Linked DNA regions of Cricetulus griseus. The protein of the gene in region 2 binds, or shares a complex with, the protein of the main gene of each other region. Links are inferred from orthologs where the notes say so. Each region holds a gene or a part of one and is shown on either strand. Other genes may lie near its edges.

Region 1 (3,570 bases), on a different chromosome or scaffold from region 2:
TGGGTCCTAGGGAATACCAGCAAGTGCTCTTAACTGATGAGCCAAATTTTCAGTTCCTCCCAGAGACCTTTTTATATTTGAAAGGATCACATCTTTAAAGTTAGAACTTATCACTGTGTCAATGAAATATCAGTTAATGGACACACTCACAGGATAAGCCCTAGCTCTGCTTTCCCTGAGCTGAGGATAGTTGGAAAGCTATGCTGAAATAAATGATTTTCAGTAGAAGACAATTCATATATCCACTACTGTATTTTGTATTATTATTATATGTGTTTGTTTGTTTCTCTTAAGGTTTTACTATGTAGCCTAGGCTTAGCCTAACACTGGCTTAGAATTCACTAGGATATGCTTCAGTCTCCCACGAGCTAGGATTCAAGGTATGCACCATCACATCTGGTCAACCTCTGCTGCATTGTTTGCTTTTGGTAAGAAGTCAAATACCTATGTACAATACCAAAGTTAGTTGGTATTGGTAGACTCCAACTACCAATGTTGGAGTCTCAGGCAGAGTAATGGCTTTGGTTTTAGAAAACCACTCACAGTGGGGCTGGAGAGATGGCTCAGTGGTTAAGAACAGTGACTGCTCTTCCAGAGGACCTGGGTTCAATTCCCAGCACCCACAATGCAGCTCACAACTCTCTGTAACTGTAAGACCTGACACCCTCACACAGACACACATGCAGGCAAAACACCAATGCAAGTAAAACAAAAATAAATTTAAAAGAGTATTTAAAAAGAAAAGCACTCACAGAACTGAGTTCCTCTGAAACTAAGCAGGCTTCTCTTAGTGATGGAGAGGCCTAGGAAGGGATATGAGCTCACCAGCACCAAAGCTGGAAGTTCCTACACACTGGCAAGGAGATGTGTTGGCTAGTAGCTGGGAAGAGTAGGCTCTGTTAATTCTTGAAATTACCTTGTGGAAGCTTTATCAGTCCCCACATCAAGACACTTACATCTTGCAAAAGCTTTTCCAAATTTTCTTGAAGTTCATAGAAATAGTGTGATGTAATGAGGCCACTCCGAGATTTGTCCAGGCAGTCTCGGGCCATCTCAATCACCTGATGATGAATGAAGCTTAGGGTGCCATCTGCCAAGGGCAACACACTCTCTGGAGTGTTACAGGAAATGAATTCAGCTAGTCGCTCTTCCATTTGTGCAGTGGCCTGGGAATAAAAGAAGAGATGATAATTCCCTTCTGGTCCCAGCTTAGCTGCAGCAAATTCCGAAGGACTGGATCTCTATGTGCCTTACTTCCTCATGCTACTTTGGGAAACCTAATGAAAGAAGACATGAAGAGGTCACTTCAGATAAGTCAGACAGACTAACACCGGATTCGAGGCCTCTATCATCTTGGTTTGCCTGTCTCTTGCCATACTCTGTAAGGCAAGCTTTTTGGTTCTATAGACAGACAAGTTTGCTAGTCTCTTACTGGCCATATTTCATGTCACTGTCTTTGTTACACATTCTCTGGGGGTGGCCCAGAGTTATTGTTACTGTTGCTCCTCATGTTACTCAAGCATCATCAATCCTCAGATGAGTCTTTTGCTTCCTCTGTGTCTCACTTGGTCCCCCTGACTGCATAACTCAGTACACAGATGAAGTTCTGATCCTTTCTATGCACTAGAAGTTCTGGCAAGTCAGAGAGTTTCATTGTCATGGGGTTCTCATATTAAACGTGAGTTCACGCTGAATACAACAGGTGCTCAGAGAACATGTATGAATCTGCCTGGTTTTGGAAGCCAGGATGGAATGGAGCGTTTTGAATTGCAATATGACCCTGGCCTAGATCCCCGGCAGAGAAGAATGGAGGTTTGGCTCAGAGCTCTTTTGGGCCCTTAACTCTCTTAGGCTTTGACTCTGTATGTGTACAGAGGGATTTTAAAAAAGTGAGAGCAGCAGGGAGAGAAGGAAGGGAAGGAACCTTAACACATTTTCTCTAACAACAGCCCATCTTATATGAAGGACAAAGGAGTAACTATAAATACCAACACTAAGTGCTAGATGTGTCAAAACACATCTCTGTACAAAGAGGATGAGACATGCAAAATACATTTTTCCAGACTGCACACTCTGGAATTTTATTAGGAAGTACAATAGCATGGCTTCCTAGCTGCTTTCCTGTTCTTCCTTTATTCTTACTCCTGTGTCTACTTCAAGGCTACCATGTGGAGACCAGAGACAACAGATTAAACAGAATAATAGCTAATATTACTGAATACTATGTCCTGCATACTGTTAGAAAACCAGTGCTCATTTATCCTCATATGAGACAGAATCAAACAGGATTCTATTATTATGAATTGTCAATGAAGCAAACGAAGCTCAAGGAAGTTAAATAATCTGACCAGAAGAATTTTGAAGCTAATACATGGAGCAGAGTGAATGTAGACAATCTGGGTCCTTGTTACAAGGTGTCACTGGTGTATGTCAAGAAAGAAAAGCACAGAGCATTTTTGTCATCTTTCTCAGCTGTCATGTGTATGCAAGAGAATGTATAGTTCAAGGTTAGTACTGCTGAGAGCAGCAGGAAGCACATACCCCAGATACAAACACACTGACAACCCAGAGAGGCCTGGACAGAGAGAGGATGAAGGAGGCCTGAGCACCTCTGCCCCCCTTAGTGTCTCTCAGATAGGGCTGTGATTGCTATTTTGATTGTCATCTTGACTACATCTAGAATTAACTAAAATTCAAAAATGGCTGGGCACACCAGTGAGGAATTATGCTTAATTACATCATTTGAAGTGGGAAGATCTACTTCTCATCTGTGTCTCTGACGTGGGAGACACACTTTTCATCCACATCTTTTGAGGTGAAAAGACCCACCTCTAATCCAGGCCACACCTTCTGCTTTGAAGCCTATGTAAAAGACATCTCTTTTTGCCTGTTCGCTCTTACCCTTGCTAGCAAGTCCATTGCTTCACCGGCACTAGAATCTTTGGGATTCTGGTGTAAACTGAAAACCAGCTAAGACACCTGAACATGGATTGAACATCTACTCAATTACTGAAGTTTACATTCATAGGCAGCCATTGTTGGATTAGCTGGACCATAGCCTGTAAATCAGTCTAATAAATCCCATTTCTTTCATTTTTTTCTGTTTTTTGAGACACAGTTTCTCTTTGTAACTCTGGCTGTCCTGGAACTCACTTTGTAGACCAGGCTGGACTCAAATTTGCAGAGACCCACCTGCCTCTGCCTCCTGAGTACTGGGATTAGAGGCATGTACCACCATCACCCAACCCATAAATCCCATTTCTATACAGATTCATTTTTAAAATCATGTTACTCTAAAAGACCCTGACTAATACAGGACTGACTGCTTTCTATAGGAACCAAGTCTACCCTCAGAAGATCAAGTATGAGTACACAGCAAGTGATTCTTGATCAGAATTGCAAATTCACCTGTGATGGCAGGCCAGGCTGGGGCAGGATTGAGTTTGAGGCTAGCCTAGGTTAAATATCAAGTTCTAGAATAGTTCCTGCTACAAAGTAAAACTAACTCAAAAAACCAAACAAAAACCAAACAAGCAAATTTAAAAAATAAAGGAGCATATAGGAAGGGCA
Region 2 (3,570 bases):
CTCCTTAAGAAAAAGGTCTGAGGTTACTCATGGCACAGCTATTTCTACCAGATAGAACTCAAGTGCAAACCTTTTTGAGCATCTTGTTCTGCTTGTGGAAGAACTCTACTTTGATGTCACCACACACAGGCAATGGCTGAGGAAACTCAAAGTACATGAACTTGTCTTCCCGTCGTGTGGGTCCTGAATTGGAGGAATATATCTTCACCTTTAGCTGGCAGACCACAAACTGAGGATCTACATGGTTAAATACATACATGATCATTTCACAGGAAATGCCTTTAACATTCAAATTATCAGAAACTATTTTAATGACAAAGTAATGGAAGTAAACATAAAATAATTCTTCATACAGACTGCTGATCTAAAACAAATCAATAGAAATAAACTGGTTTAAAACATAACCACTCATTCCAAGTAGCGATCACTCCTCTTTGAAACCTTATGTAAAGGAATGCAAGGAAAATCAATTACTACTTCATAAACAGTAAGTTCACAGAGATCCACCTGCCTCTGCTTCCCAGGTGCTAGGAATAAAGGTATGTGCTGCCACTCTCTTGCATTTTATTTCTAAAATGTACTCAAATTCATTTACAGCTAGAAAGAAACAGGACACTAATATGTTCAAATTAGAGGACTTATGTGACAGAAAAATATCAATACTAGCCAGGCGGTAGTAGCACATGACTTTAATCCCAGTTCTAGGCCAGCCTAGTCTACTAAACTAGTTCCAGGATAGCCAGAATTGTTACACTGAGAAACCCTGTCTCAAAAACTCATTTTTAAAAAAAAAAAAAAAAAAAAAGGTATTATTTCTTTCAAGATGAGGAATTTTTAATCTATTATGACCAATGACTGAGAAAATGTGAAAGTTAAACCAATCTAAGTGAAATTTCTAAATTATTCTAAATTAATAAATATATAGAGGTCTATGTATTCAACATATAAAACCAGTAACGCAACAATCATATCATAGAAAACGGGACCCTTAACAAAGCACGTGGGCTTATCCTAACATGGATTTACAAGACATTTATCATGAAATCCACCCAAAAGAGAGGAACATTACACCAATAATCTGCCAAACATTTCACTTCTTTGACTAAAGGTTCAAAGTGCAATAAGACATTTGCAAAGCTCCATACAATAACGAAGTTAACATGAAACAAATGAACAAAGCATGGTTTCAATGTTGTGGTAAAAATTATTGGAATAAAATGCCTTATAATCTTATTAAGGAACTATTATTCTACTAGTTCAGAATCAGATACTACAGGTTTTAGGATTTGAAAACTGATGGTATAATCTGGATTTCAACTAAACAGCATCCAAGGTATAAATCTCCAACTGTCATAATAAACAATCGACAAGTTAATTACAAATCCATATTACTTAGAACTTCCCCTAAAAATAAGATAAAAAATGTTTCACTAATTATATTTGTCTTTCTGGGTCTGGGTTATGTCACTCAGGATGGCTTTTTCTAGTTCCGGCAATCTAGTTTTTCTAGTTGCCTGCAAATTTCAAGATGTCATAGATTTTTCTACGTTGAGTAGTACTCCATTGTGTAAATGTACCACACAAATATAGTATGTACTCACTCATAAGTAGATATTAGACATGAAGGAAAGGACAACCAGCCAGGCAACAAAGAGGACCCTAAGAGAGAGACACATGGATCCGTCTAGGAAGGGGAAAAAGACAAGATCTCCTGATTGGAGAGCCCCCCCCCCCCCAAGGAGTAGGGTGGAAGGGAAGAGGGGAAGCGGGAAGGGGGAGTGTGGGGGGTGCAAAAAAGAAGAAAAAAGAATCTAATTGAGAAAAACATTAATAAAACAGAAAAAAATGTTTCACTAAAAATAATTAGTCTGACCATGCTGCTTGTTGGCGGAACGTGAACTTTGGGACTTTGGATTCAGAAAACAGTTCAACACTCTATGCAGAGCTTAATTGGCCACACTAATAGGAACATGGAGGAGGCTAGGTAGTGGAATACCTGCCTAGCACACAAGACTCTGGGCTCCCCCTCTGCCACTTGTGCGTGCGTGCGTGAGTGTGTGTTTTGGGGAGCTGTTGAGTGATTTTTAACTGGGTCTCTGTGGTAGTTTGCATAAGAATGGCCCCAGAGGCACATATATTTAACTGCTTAGTCATCAGGGAGTGGCACTACTTGAGAGGGATTAGAAGGTGTGGCCTTGAAGTAGGTGTGACCTTATTGGAGGAAGTATATCACTGGGGATAGACTTTGGGTTTCAAAAGCTCAAGCCAGGCCCAGTGCCTGCTCTTCCTGATGCCTGCAGATCTATACGTAGAACCCTCAGCTCCTCCTCCAGCACCAAATCTGTCTGCATACCGCCATGCTGGTAATGAACTAAACCTCTGAAACTGTAAGCAATACCCAATTAAATGTTTTCTTTTTTCAGAGTTGCTGTAGTCATGGTATCTTTTCACAGAAATGGAACACTGACTAAGACAGTTCCCTTAGTTGCCTTGTACAATAAAACAGCATAAAGTTTTTTTGAGAAATGAATACACAGAAGCATTTCCTAAAGCCACTGAGAAAAATAATCTCTGGAATGAGTTTCACACTGGGATGGAAGTCCTAAAATCAAAACTCTAATATTATTAAAGTTCTTTTGATTTCTAAGGTACACATCTGAAATATAACCTTTGATATGTTAACTATGTTCTAAAGAAATGTTTCCCAACAAATACATGGGTCATCCTAATTAATACTTATAACCCATACACAACTTTCCTTCACTTAGAAATAGTAAGACAAAATTCAAGTAAGAAAACTGCTGCCAGCTCCTGATAACTGCAGAAACACTTTTTAGTTTTCATCACTAGTTTAATGTTTCACCGATGCTCCTCTTCTTCCTGAATCCACCTCACTCTTCCCTTTTCTCATTCTTTACCCTTTCCTACCTTAACGGCATACTCAGCCAAAAGGCTAAGTTACTATCTTGTTCCTGATGTTTCTCCCGAACAAATATGATCTCCCACCTAGACTTGAACCCACTAAGAATTTAACCACTAAGCATCTTTTTAAAAATAAATAAATAAATAAATAAAAGGTGGGGATGGAGTGCAGGGCATTGTGCTTTCTGGTTCTACTCAAATACTGCACCTGAAACAAAGCCTCTAGCCCCATTACAGAGCTTTCCATAAACAGCTTGTTTTCATTACATTTAAAACAACTTTAAAGCCAAAGTGATAATACTTATGTCTCCAAATTTCAAATGTACTTTTCATCTCCTTTCTGTGAATCAGCCACCTGAGTAAGATCAGCAAAAGAAAAACCAAACAAAGCCCATTTCACTGCTCCAGCAAAATTTGGCAAGTCACATAGCTGGTTTTACTTCCCCCTCCTATATCACAACTTTCTATAGAGTATACAATTGTCCTTAAAACATGGCTTAACTCCCTAAAATCAACATGACACCCATATTTCCAGTCTATTATCTCTCACTCAAGATCCTATAACAGCTAACCACACCTTCATTTCTTGTCCAGCTCGGTTTCCGTCTGTTGTACTGCAGTTCAACCATTTCCTATTGCCAGCAATAT
Region 3 (3,570 bases), about 180 Mb from region 2:
CACTCTGTAATATCTTCCAGCTACAAGGTTTGCTGTCCACAGCTGCTGGACACAGGTACGCATTCTGGATGGCTCTCCGGCCACTTTTCGAACTGACTAGACTCAGGCATCATTTTTAAAAACCCATAATTTGAAAGGCATAATTTTCAAACACATAGGTAAAGGAATACAAAGAAGGGCAAGTGTATCTCATCCTTGACAGAACACCAATGGCTATCTGAAAGTCAAGTGTGGCCATCATACTGCATAGAGAAGGAGACCAACTACAAGTGTGTTCTCTATGTACACAGAATTGCCAACTACAGGAAGGGGGTATTTAATGGTGGAGGAGACTGAGTGGCACCCATCACCATTATCTGTCACCTTCAAGGAAAAGAAGTTACATACTGGAGAAGGGAAAGCAAACACAGTTCTGGGCTTCTTAGCAACTGTGACTCAGACAGCCTCAAAAATGGGTGCCCCTTCCCATGACATGCTGAAGGCTATAGAGACCTCCAATTTCCTGCTAAAGGCATGGTTGACAATTAAGACAGTCAGACCACTAGTCTGTTCTAGATATTAAAAGAAAACTTGTAACTCACTTTCAATATATATATAAATCCTAACCTAGGAATAACACACGTGCTGTGACTTATTCAGAACTTTTACATTTTAATTTTATTTCTTCTGCATTTGTGTGTACATGTGTGTGCAAGTGCATGTACAATGTGTGTGCATAGGCCAGAGGTTACTTTGAAGTGTCTTCTCAGTTGGTCTCATAGGAACCTGGAGCTTGTCAATTTGTCTAGACTGGGGCTGGTCACGAAGATAGCCACCCGGCTCCACACCCGACATTCCTGGCTTTTATGTATATGCTGGAAATCTGAACTCGGGTCCTTGTGCATATGTAGTAAGCACTTTACCACCAAATCCCTCCATTTTAATTTTGACAGGGTACAGGTAAAGATGGGGCAGAGTGACTGGCAAACAGAGCCCTGGGCTTTATTCTGAGCACTGAAACACTTAACAGATGGAGACAACAAAAGAGCACACCTCCCCCACCTCAGTACTCGAAGGACTCTCCTCAGCTTGTAGCTTATCTTAAAAGAAGCCCCGTCGGACATCCTACCTTTCTTAAGCTGAATGTTGAGCCTCTTGCCTACTTTCTTAGTGTTGTACACACTGCCCACATTGGTGCTAAGCACATTCGGTGGAGTCAAAGCTGGGGCTGCGGGTGGTTTAGTGGAGGCATGAGCACTATGAGGTAGTCGGGGGTGAGCATCCAGCTGCTCAGGAGGATGATTCAGTCTGGGTGCTCTGGGCAATGCTTGAGGCACAGTGCTGGCCACACTCCTGTTGTCCACACAGTGGCTGTCAGGGCTGAAGCGGCTAGGGGAATAGTTGTTCTTCTCTCGCTGTGAGAGTTGTTCATACTGCTCCTTGTTTGCTGCAGGGACCACGTGGAACCAAATGACACGTGTACGCATGGCTTGGCGGAACATATGTTGTGCTCTGGATTTGACAAAGAATGGAAGATTAGCAAATGAAGGCTAGCAGAGCAGAAGATAACATGAGCTTGATTAAGTATACTAATTAAGCAACAAGAACCAACAGACTGTTGGAACCATTTATGAACCACGTTTGTAAGCTCTGATAAAAGCAGAACAGTTTCTCCAAATATAAATTTCTCATTCTGTAAATAAAAATGCTAAACCTATCTGTGACTGTAGATAAAATACAGTGTGCTCCACTGTAAATCATCAATAATGATTACGTGCTAACACCTTTAATCTAGCTTAATACTGACAGAAAACATACACAGCTTTTACTTCTCCCAGCTGTGTCCAACCTGCAGTCCTTCATCCTCCTATATCTAGGGTAGTTATGAATGCAGTCCAATACATTTGTAGATGACAAGGACATATCACAATGTCAAAAGGTTGGATATCCCTGCACAGAATTATGCCATGAAACTAATAAGGGCAAAAAGTGTTTTCTTACTAAGGGACCATAGAACTTTTAAAGAAATACTCTATAGTATAATTATGGAAATATTGGAGGCAACTAACCACTCATCACTTATCATCAAAACTGGTTCAAAAATCTCACCAACACTAATTGCTGCAAACAGAACCTAATGATGTATCCACCACCACCCACCCAGTCTGGATCCTACCTGTTGTGGAGCCCTAAGGCCCACTGTAAGGCAGATCCCACTCATACTGGTACCCGGGTATCACCTCTAAGTAAGAATGCTAGTCACACCTACCCATTTTTAAAAGGGTTTTGTTACTGTTGCTATTTTTAATTTAGTAAGGGTCAGGATAAAGAAAGCACAAGAAAGAAAGAGTATTGTGACTCAAAGGAGTCTCCCTCCTTATTTATACTGTGAAAGACAAAGCTAGAAATGTGAGTTCAAGTGAGGCTAGGGTGGACTTCCAGAAAGCAGAGAAATCAGCAGCACTGTAACACTAAAATGAGGGACAGAACAATGTGGGAACAGCTCAACTGGTTAGAGGGGGCTCTAAAATATAGAATGACAGGAGTTTGATTAAATTATAGATGATTAAAAAACTAGATGATTGCATACAAAACTGTCTCCTGTGGTACAGTATTCAATAATGTGTCAAAGCACCTGAGACAAAGGTGCCCCATCATGCCACCAGGGGAGGGGACCCCACTGTGCCCAGGGGAGAGCACCCACTGACACCAGGGGAGATACCCCACTGCCATCAGGGGAAAGGACCCCACTGGCACCAGGGGAGAGGACCCCACTGCCACTAGAACACTTACTGCTCAAATCTTCTGTTTCGAAGATCTCCATCGTTAATCCTCACAATGCAGTCGTTCTCATGGAAAAGATTTTCTTGCTCAGCTTTACCACCTTTCTCCAACCGCTTGACTAACAACCCCAGTGTTCTGGAACATCAAGAATGTGAACAATTACAGGGGTAACTCTCCTTCCATGTGCTTTAGCTCTATGGTACAGGCTCATCCACTCCCTTAAAAGAAGATGGACTAGGGCACTACTGATATTCAAAAACTCCCAAGGTTCTAAATTATGTGTAGAAACTGACCCTTTCAGTCAATATCAGATACCATTTTCTGACTTGCCATTATTAGCCTTCTGAACCTAAGTGCATACTAAGTCTGCTTCAAAATGCTGACAACAGAGCCTGTTGAGGGAAATCAGTGGGCAGTGGGTGTCACAGTCTGAACAGGGACAGTCTTATGGATGGCTTGGTAGGTTTCTGCTTTAGTCCTGCTGGCATGCTGCTGCAAGCAGCCCTTGATTGTTTCACAGCACACACAGATCATGAGGAATGCCTATCCTCCCTGTGCTTTACGTTCCAAGGATAAGAGCAAAGTCTTCATAGAGAGTCAGAGAGAGAGAAAGAGAGCTTCCCTTGTGCATGAATTGTGAACTCAACAACAGTCTGATAATTGGAATTTCAAAACCTGGCAAGTGAGTGATCTGCTGCCACACTCCTGGCTGAAGAAAACTGCATGCAGGAAAGCGGTTCAAAGAACTTGGCATTTCTCTCATCTGTATTGGCACTCAAACTTTAAGACAGGGCATGGTATAAACTT
Region 4 (3,570 bases), on a different chromosome or scaffold from region 2:
TTCAGTAAGAACTCAATGGTATTTATTTAATTGTGACCAACATTTCCCCAGATGTCTACCACTTTGATTAAGTTTTATAATGCCATTTCATTATCTGCAATAGAGACTAACCTATCTATGGAAGTATGGATTAGAAGAAATTTACTGTTTAACTGTTTATAAATGTAGCTGAAACTCAGCTTCCATGTCCCAGCTGTATTAAATTAGAATGTTTGTATATGCCCCAACACATGTAAAATCATGCAAGAAACTGCCATAATGAAAATGTGGGTAAATCTACCCTTTGTCTCTTCATCAATTCCTTCTCCTTTTTACACCTTTCTCTACACACACACACACACACACACACACACACACACACTTACAGAACACATTGCCAATTGCCCCAATGCCATTTAAAAATTTACAGAAATCAATACTTTTCTCATAAACCTTCAAGCATTTGAAAAAATTACATGTATACTTCAATTTGAAATACATTTCATCATGATAGTACTTCTAAGTGTATTTTAAGAGTAAAAATTGGTTGAAAGACACTTAGAATTGGTAATATGCTACATTATTTTGTACTTTCATAATTAAATTGAATTTGAGATATGATAGCATTAGAAAAAAGTAAACTCACCACTTCTTCATGTCTGTATTTCCTCACATTAATCCCATTTATCTGCAATGAAAGAAAATACTTAGTTTCAAGTAGTGTACTGTAAATTGGCTTTTGTTTGCATCTATAAAGACAATAATGAGATATATACCTGTAGAATTGCATCTCCGATGAAAAGCAGTCCTGACAGCTCCGCTGTGAATAAGAAAAAAAATTGAATACACCTTGGCATTTGTCAAATAAATAAAGATGTTTTGTCTTAAGGTTAAAACTGTAAACAAGCTATGTCTTTTCTATGGTTAGTATTTCATAGGGTCACACACAATGTAAACTCAAAGTATTAATATGATTTTTTTTCAGTTGCTGGAATAGGCAGACATTTCTTTTTGGTTCTAGAAATTTATAACCTTACAGTTATTAAAACATGGTCAGTCCCCTCCCAACTTTGTGACTTTTTTCCTTTTTCAAAAATGCCAATTAGTGTGGCCCAAATACTTTTGGATGTGAGGCTTTCCAGTTTAGCATGTTTGACTTTTCAGATGATACATTCTGGAAGTGTAACTACATCTTGGAAAGTTGGAAGAATGAGTATGAATGTGATCAAGGCATGTTATTAACAGTTTTCTAAGACGTGTGTGTGTGTGTGTGAGTGTGTGTGTGGTGTGTGTGTGTGAGTGTGTGTGTGTGTGTGAGTGTGTGTGTGTGTGTGTGTGTGAGTGTGTGTGTGTGTGTGTGTGAGTGTGTGTGTGTGTGTGTGTGAGTGTGTGTGTGATGTGTGTGTGTGTGAGTGTGTGTGTGTGTGTGTGTGAGTGTGTGTGTGTGTGTGTGAGTGTGTGTGTGTGTGTGAGTGTGTGTGTGAGTGTGTGTGTGTGTGTGAGTGTGTGTGTGAGTGTGTGTGTGTGTGTGTGTGAGTGTGTGTGTGTGTGTGTGTGTGTGTGTGTGTGTGTGTGTGTGAGTGTGTGTGTGTGAGTGTGTGTGTGTGTGTGTGTGTGGTGTGTGTGTGAGTGTGTGAGTGTGTGTGAGTGTGTGTGTGTGAGAGTGTGTGTGAGTGTGTGTGTGTGAGTGTGTGTGTGAGTGTGTGTGAGTGTGTGAGTGTGTCTGAGTGTGTGTGTGAGAGTGTGTGTGAGTGCGTGTGAGTGTGTGAGTGTGTGTGAGTGTGTGAGTGTGTGAGTGTGTGAGTGTGTGAGTGTGAGTGTGTGAGTGTGTGAGTGTGAGTGTGTGTGAGTGTGTGTGTGGTGTGTGTGTGAGTGTGTGAGTGTGTGTGAGTGTGTGTGTGTGTGTGAGTGTGTGTGTGAGTGTATGAGTGTGTGAGTGTGAGTGTGTGTGAGTGAGTGTGCATGCCTGTGTAATATATACATATTATGTATGCATATTCATTCACATTTGGTCACTTTTCTTAGTGCATTTACAGTATAATATCTCCATGCAAATACCTCAGATTTAGACTTTCCATCTGTCTGTTCTATGCTCTGTTCTATTACTTTGCTGTTTTCTTGATAATTGCCAATAAACACTTGATTTATCTGTGATAGTTTTTAGATGAAGCCTCATATGAAGTGAGTAAAATTGAGAAATCTATCGAATATGGATTTGTCCACTAAATGTGTCTTCATTTTTCGATCTTTAACCAACAGTTCAGATGTGTCTTAATTGTGTCATTTCACATATGGTCAATTAATACATGGCCATTTGAACTATGTGAATCCATCATTTTCCCTTTCTGTTCTGTAGGAGGAACAAGGGAAACTGAAGAACCAGATTTGACTTCTCACTATATGAGGCTTGGAATCCAGGGGAGCCACATCGATACCAGTTAGTGAGCGTGGGATTACAGAGGACTGACCACTTCAGGGTTAGCTAAGCACATTACCTCTTTGCTCCTTGGAGATTTTGGAAATGACAACTGGAATGTTATGTTCTGCACCTCCCTAGAAAGAGACAGTCATACATCATATTTTTAAGTCAGCTTTTAGCCAAAAAATTTAAAAATAACAAATAAACAAAAACTGCAAGCTATAAATATTGCATCTAATGAATACTAAGCAGAATTGAAATAAATTTGTAGAATTTCTTTTAAATAAGCTTGTCCATGAAGCTTGGATAAGTAATGGGTTTTTGTTGGTTGGTTGGTTGGTTGGTTGGTTTTTCAAGACAGGGTTTCTCTGTGGCTTTGGAGGCTGTCCTGGAACTAGCCCTTATAGACCAGGCTCGTCTTGAACTCACAGAGATCTGCCTGCCTCTGCCTCCCGAGTGTTGGGATTAAAGGTGAGCGCCACCACTTCCTGGTGTAGTATTTAGTGGTTTTGTAATGACATTTAATAATTAGTAATAACTGACTATAAAATTTTTATTTCTCAAATAAAATTCATAATGTTAGTAATGACATTCTCTTCAAAATCCATTATGGGAAAGCAAGGCATCTTGACATTTGTTATGTAGGATTCCACACATCAGATATTTTATATATTTCAATTCTCTGACTATTCTATTCTGGCAAACACACACTCTTTCAGTAATTCATTTTGAGTGCTAAATAACCAGAGAGACCTTCTGCCTATACAGATGGATAAACAAAATCATGAGATGTCTAAGTGTGATGGGAACAGAACTACCTGTGTTTCCTAATTAGTATTAGACTCCTGCGTGTAAAAGCATAGGCTAACCAATTATCATCCAAGAATCCAACAGCGGCCCTTGGCTCAAATATGAAAAGAAGGAAGTGCAATAAGGAATCAAAATTTTTATAAAAGCAAATAAACAATTCTTAGAATCATACAGTTTCACCCCAACAGTGTAAGAAGTTTGGGTGTGTTCGGTGATAAACCAAGGACATATATAAACAAGTGAAGTGTTGTGTAGAGACGGAGTATACATGTTTAGCACAGGTGGTTGAAGGGGCCATCTAGAGTCACTGGTGGTGCTCTGTGCTTAGAATAAATAACTCCCTAAGCTGCCCATCAGTATAA

What was found.
Region 1: the proteins of Pten (region 2) and Mast2 are in contact, whole or in part, in an NMR structure (PDB 2KYL), measured with the Homo sapiens proteins. The link is inferred for Cricetulus griseus from reciprocal best matches to the Homo sapiens genes PTEN and MAST2. Residues at the interface, in NP_000305.3 of Homo sapiens: Pro391, Phe392, Asp393, Glu394, Asp395, Gln396, His397, Thr398, Gln399, Ile400, Thr401, Lys402, Val403; in NP_055927.2 of Homo sapiens: Lys1112, Lys1113, Tyr1114, Gly1115, Phe1116, Thr1117, Leu1118, Arg1119, Ala1120, Ile1121, Arg1122, Val1123, Tyr1124, Met1136, Trp1138, Glu1141, His1170, Val1174, Ile1177, Leu1178, Leu1191.
Region 3: the proteins of Pten (region 2) and Pard3 are in contact, whole or in part, in an NMR structure (PDB 2K20), measured with the Rattus norvegicus proteins. The link is inferred for Cricetulus griseus from reciprocal best matches to the Homo sapiens genes PTEN and PARD3. Residues at the interface, in NP_113794.1 of Rattus norvegicus: Asp393, Glu394, Asp395, Ser398, Gln399, Ile400, Thr401, Lys402, Val403; in NP_112514.1 of Rattus norvegicus: Ala599, Gly600, Leu601, Gly602, Val603, Ser604, Val605, Lys606, Gly607, Asn608, Arg609, Ser610, Lys611, His614, Lys622, Ile625, Met659, Leu662, Arg663, Met666.
Region 4: the proteins of Pten (region 2) and Sntg1 are in contact, whole or in part, in a crystal structure (PDB 7PC7), measured with the Homo sapiens proteins. The link is inferred for Cricetulus griseus from reciprocal best matches to the Homo sapiens genes PTEN and SNTG1. Residues at the interface, in NP_000305.3 of Homo sapiens: Asp395, Gln396, His397, Thr398, Gln399, Ile400, Thr401, Lys402, Val403; in NP_001274742.1 of Homo sapiens: Gly67, Phe68, Gly69, Leu70, Ser71, Ile72, Lys73, Gly74, Glu77, His78, Ser85, Lys86, Ile87, Ser88, His118, Val122, Leu125, Arg126.

Annotation. Positions count from the first base shown.
Region 1 is NC_048595.1:36,019,492-36,023,061, reverse strand, and holds part of Mast2 (microtubule-associated serine/threonine-protein kinase 2), read right to left. Parts: intron 1,167-3,570; coding exon 957-1,166; intron 1-956. UniProt on the Homo sapiens protein: Appears to link the dystrophin/utrophin network with microtubule filaments via the syntrophins. Phosphorylation of DMD or UTRN may modulate their affinities for associated proteins. Functions in a multi-protein complex in spermatid maturation.
Region 2 is NC_048596.1:28,747,629-28,751,198, forward strand, and holds part of Pten (phosphatidylinositol 3,4,5-trisphosphate 3-phosphatase and dual-specificity protein phosphatase PTEN), read right to left. Parts: intron 238-3,570; coding exon 71-237; intron 1-70. UniProt on the Homo sapiens protein: Dual-specificity protein phosphatase, dephosphorylating tyrosine-, serine- and threonine-phosphorylated proteins.
Region 3 is NC_048596.1:204,208,293-204,211,862, reverse strand, and holds part of Pard3 (partitioning defective 3 homolog), read right to left. Parts: intron 2,899-3,570; coding exon 2,773-2,898; intron 1,492-2,772; coding exon 1,109-1,491; intron 1-1,108. UniProt on the Homo sapiens protein: Adapter protein involved in asymmetrical cell division and cell polarization processes. Seems to play a central role in the formation of epithelial tight junctions. Targets the phosphatase PTEN to cell junctions.
Region 4 is NC_048595.1:235,603,923-235,607,492, forward strand, and holds part of Sntg1 (gamma-1-syntrophin), read right to left. Parts: intron 2,533-3,570; coding exon 2,475-2,532; intron 800-2,474; coding exon 756-799; intron 668-755; coding exon 626-667; intron 1-625. UniProt on the Homo sapiens protein: Adapter protein that binds to and probably organizes the subcellular localization of a variety of proteins. May link various receptors to the actin cytoskeleton and the dystrophin glycoprotein complex.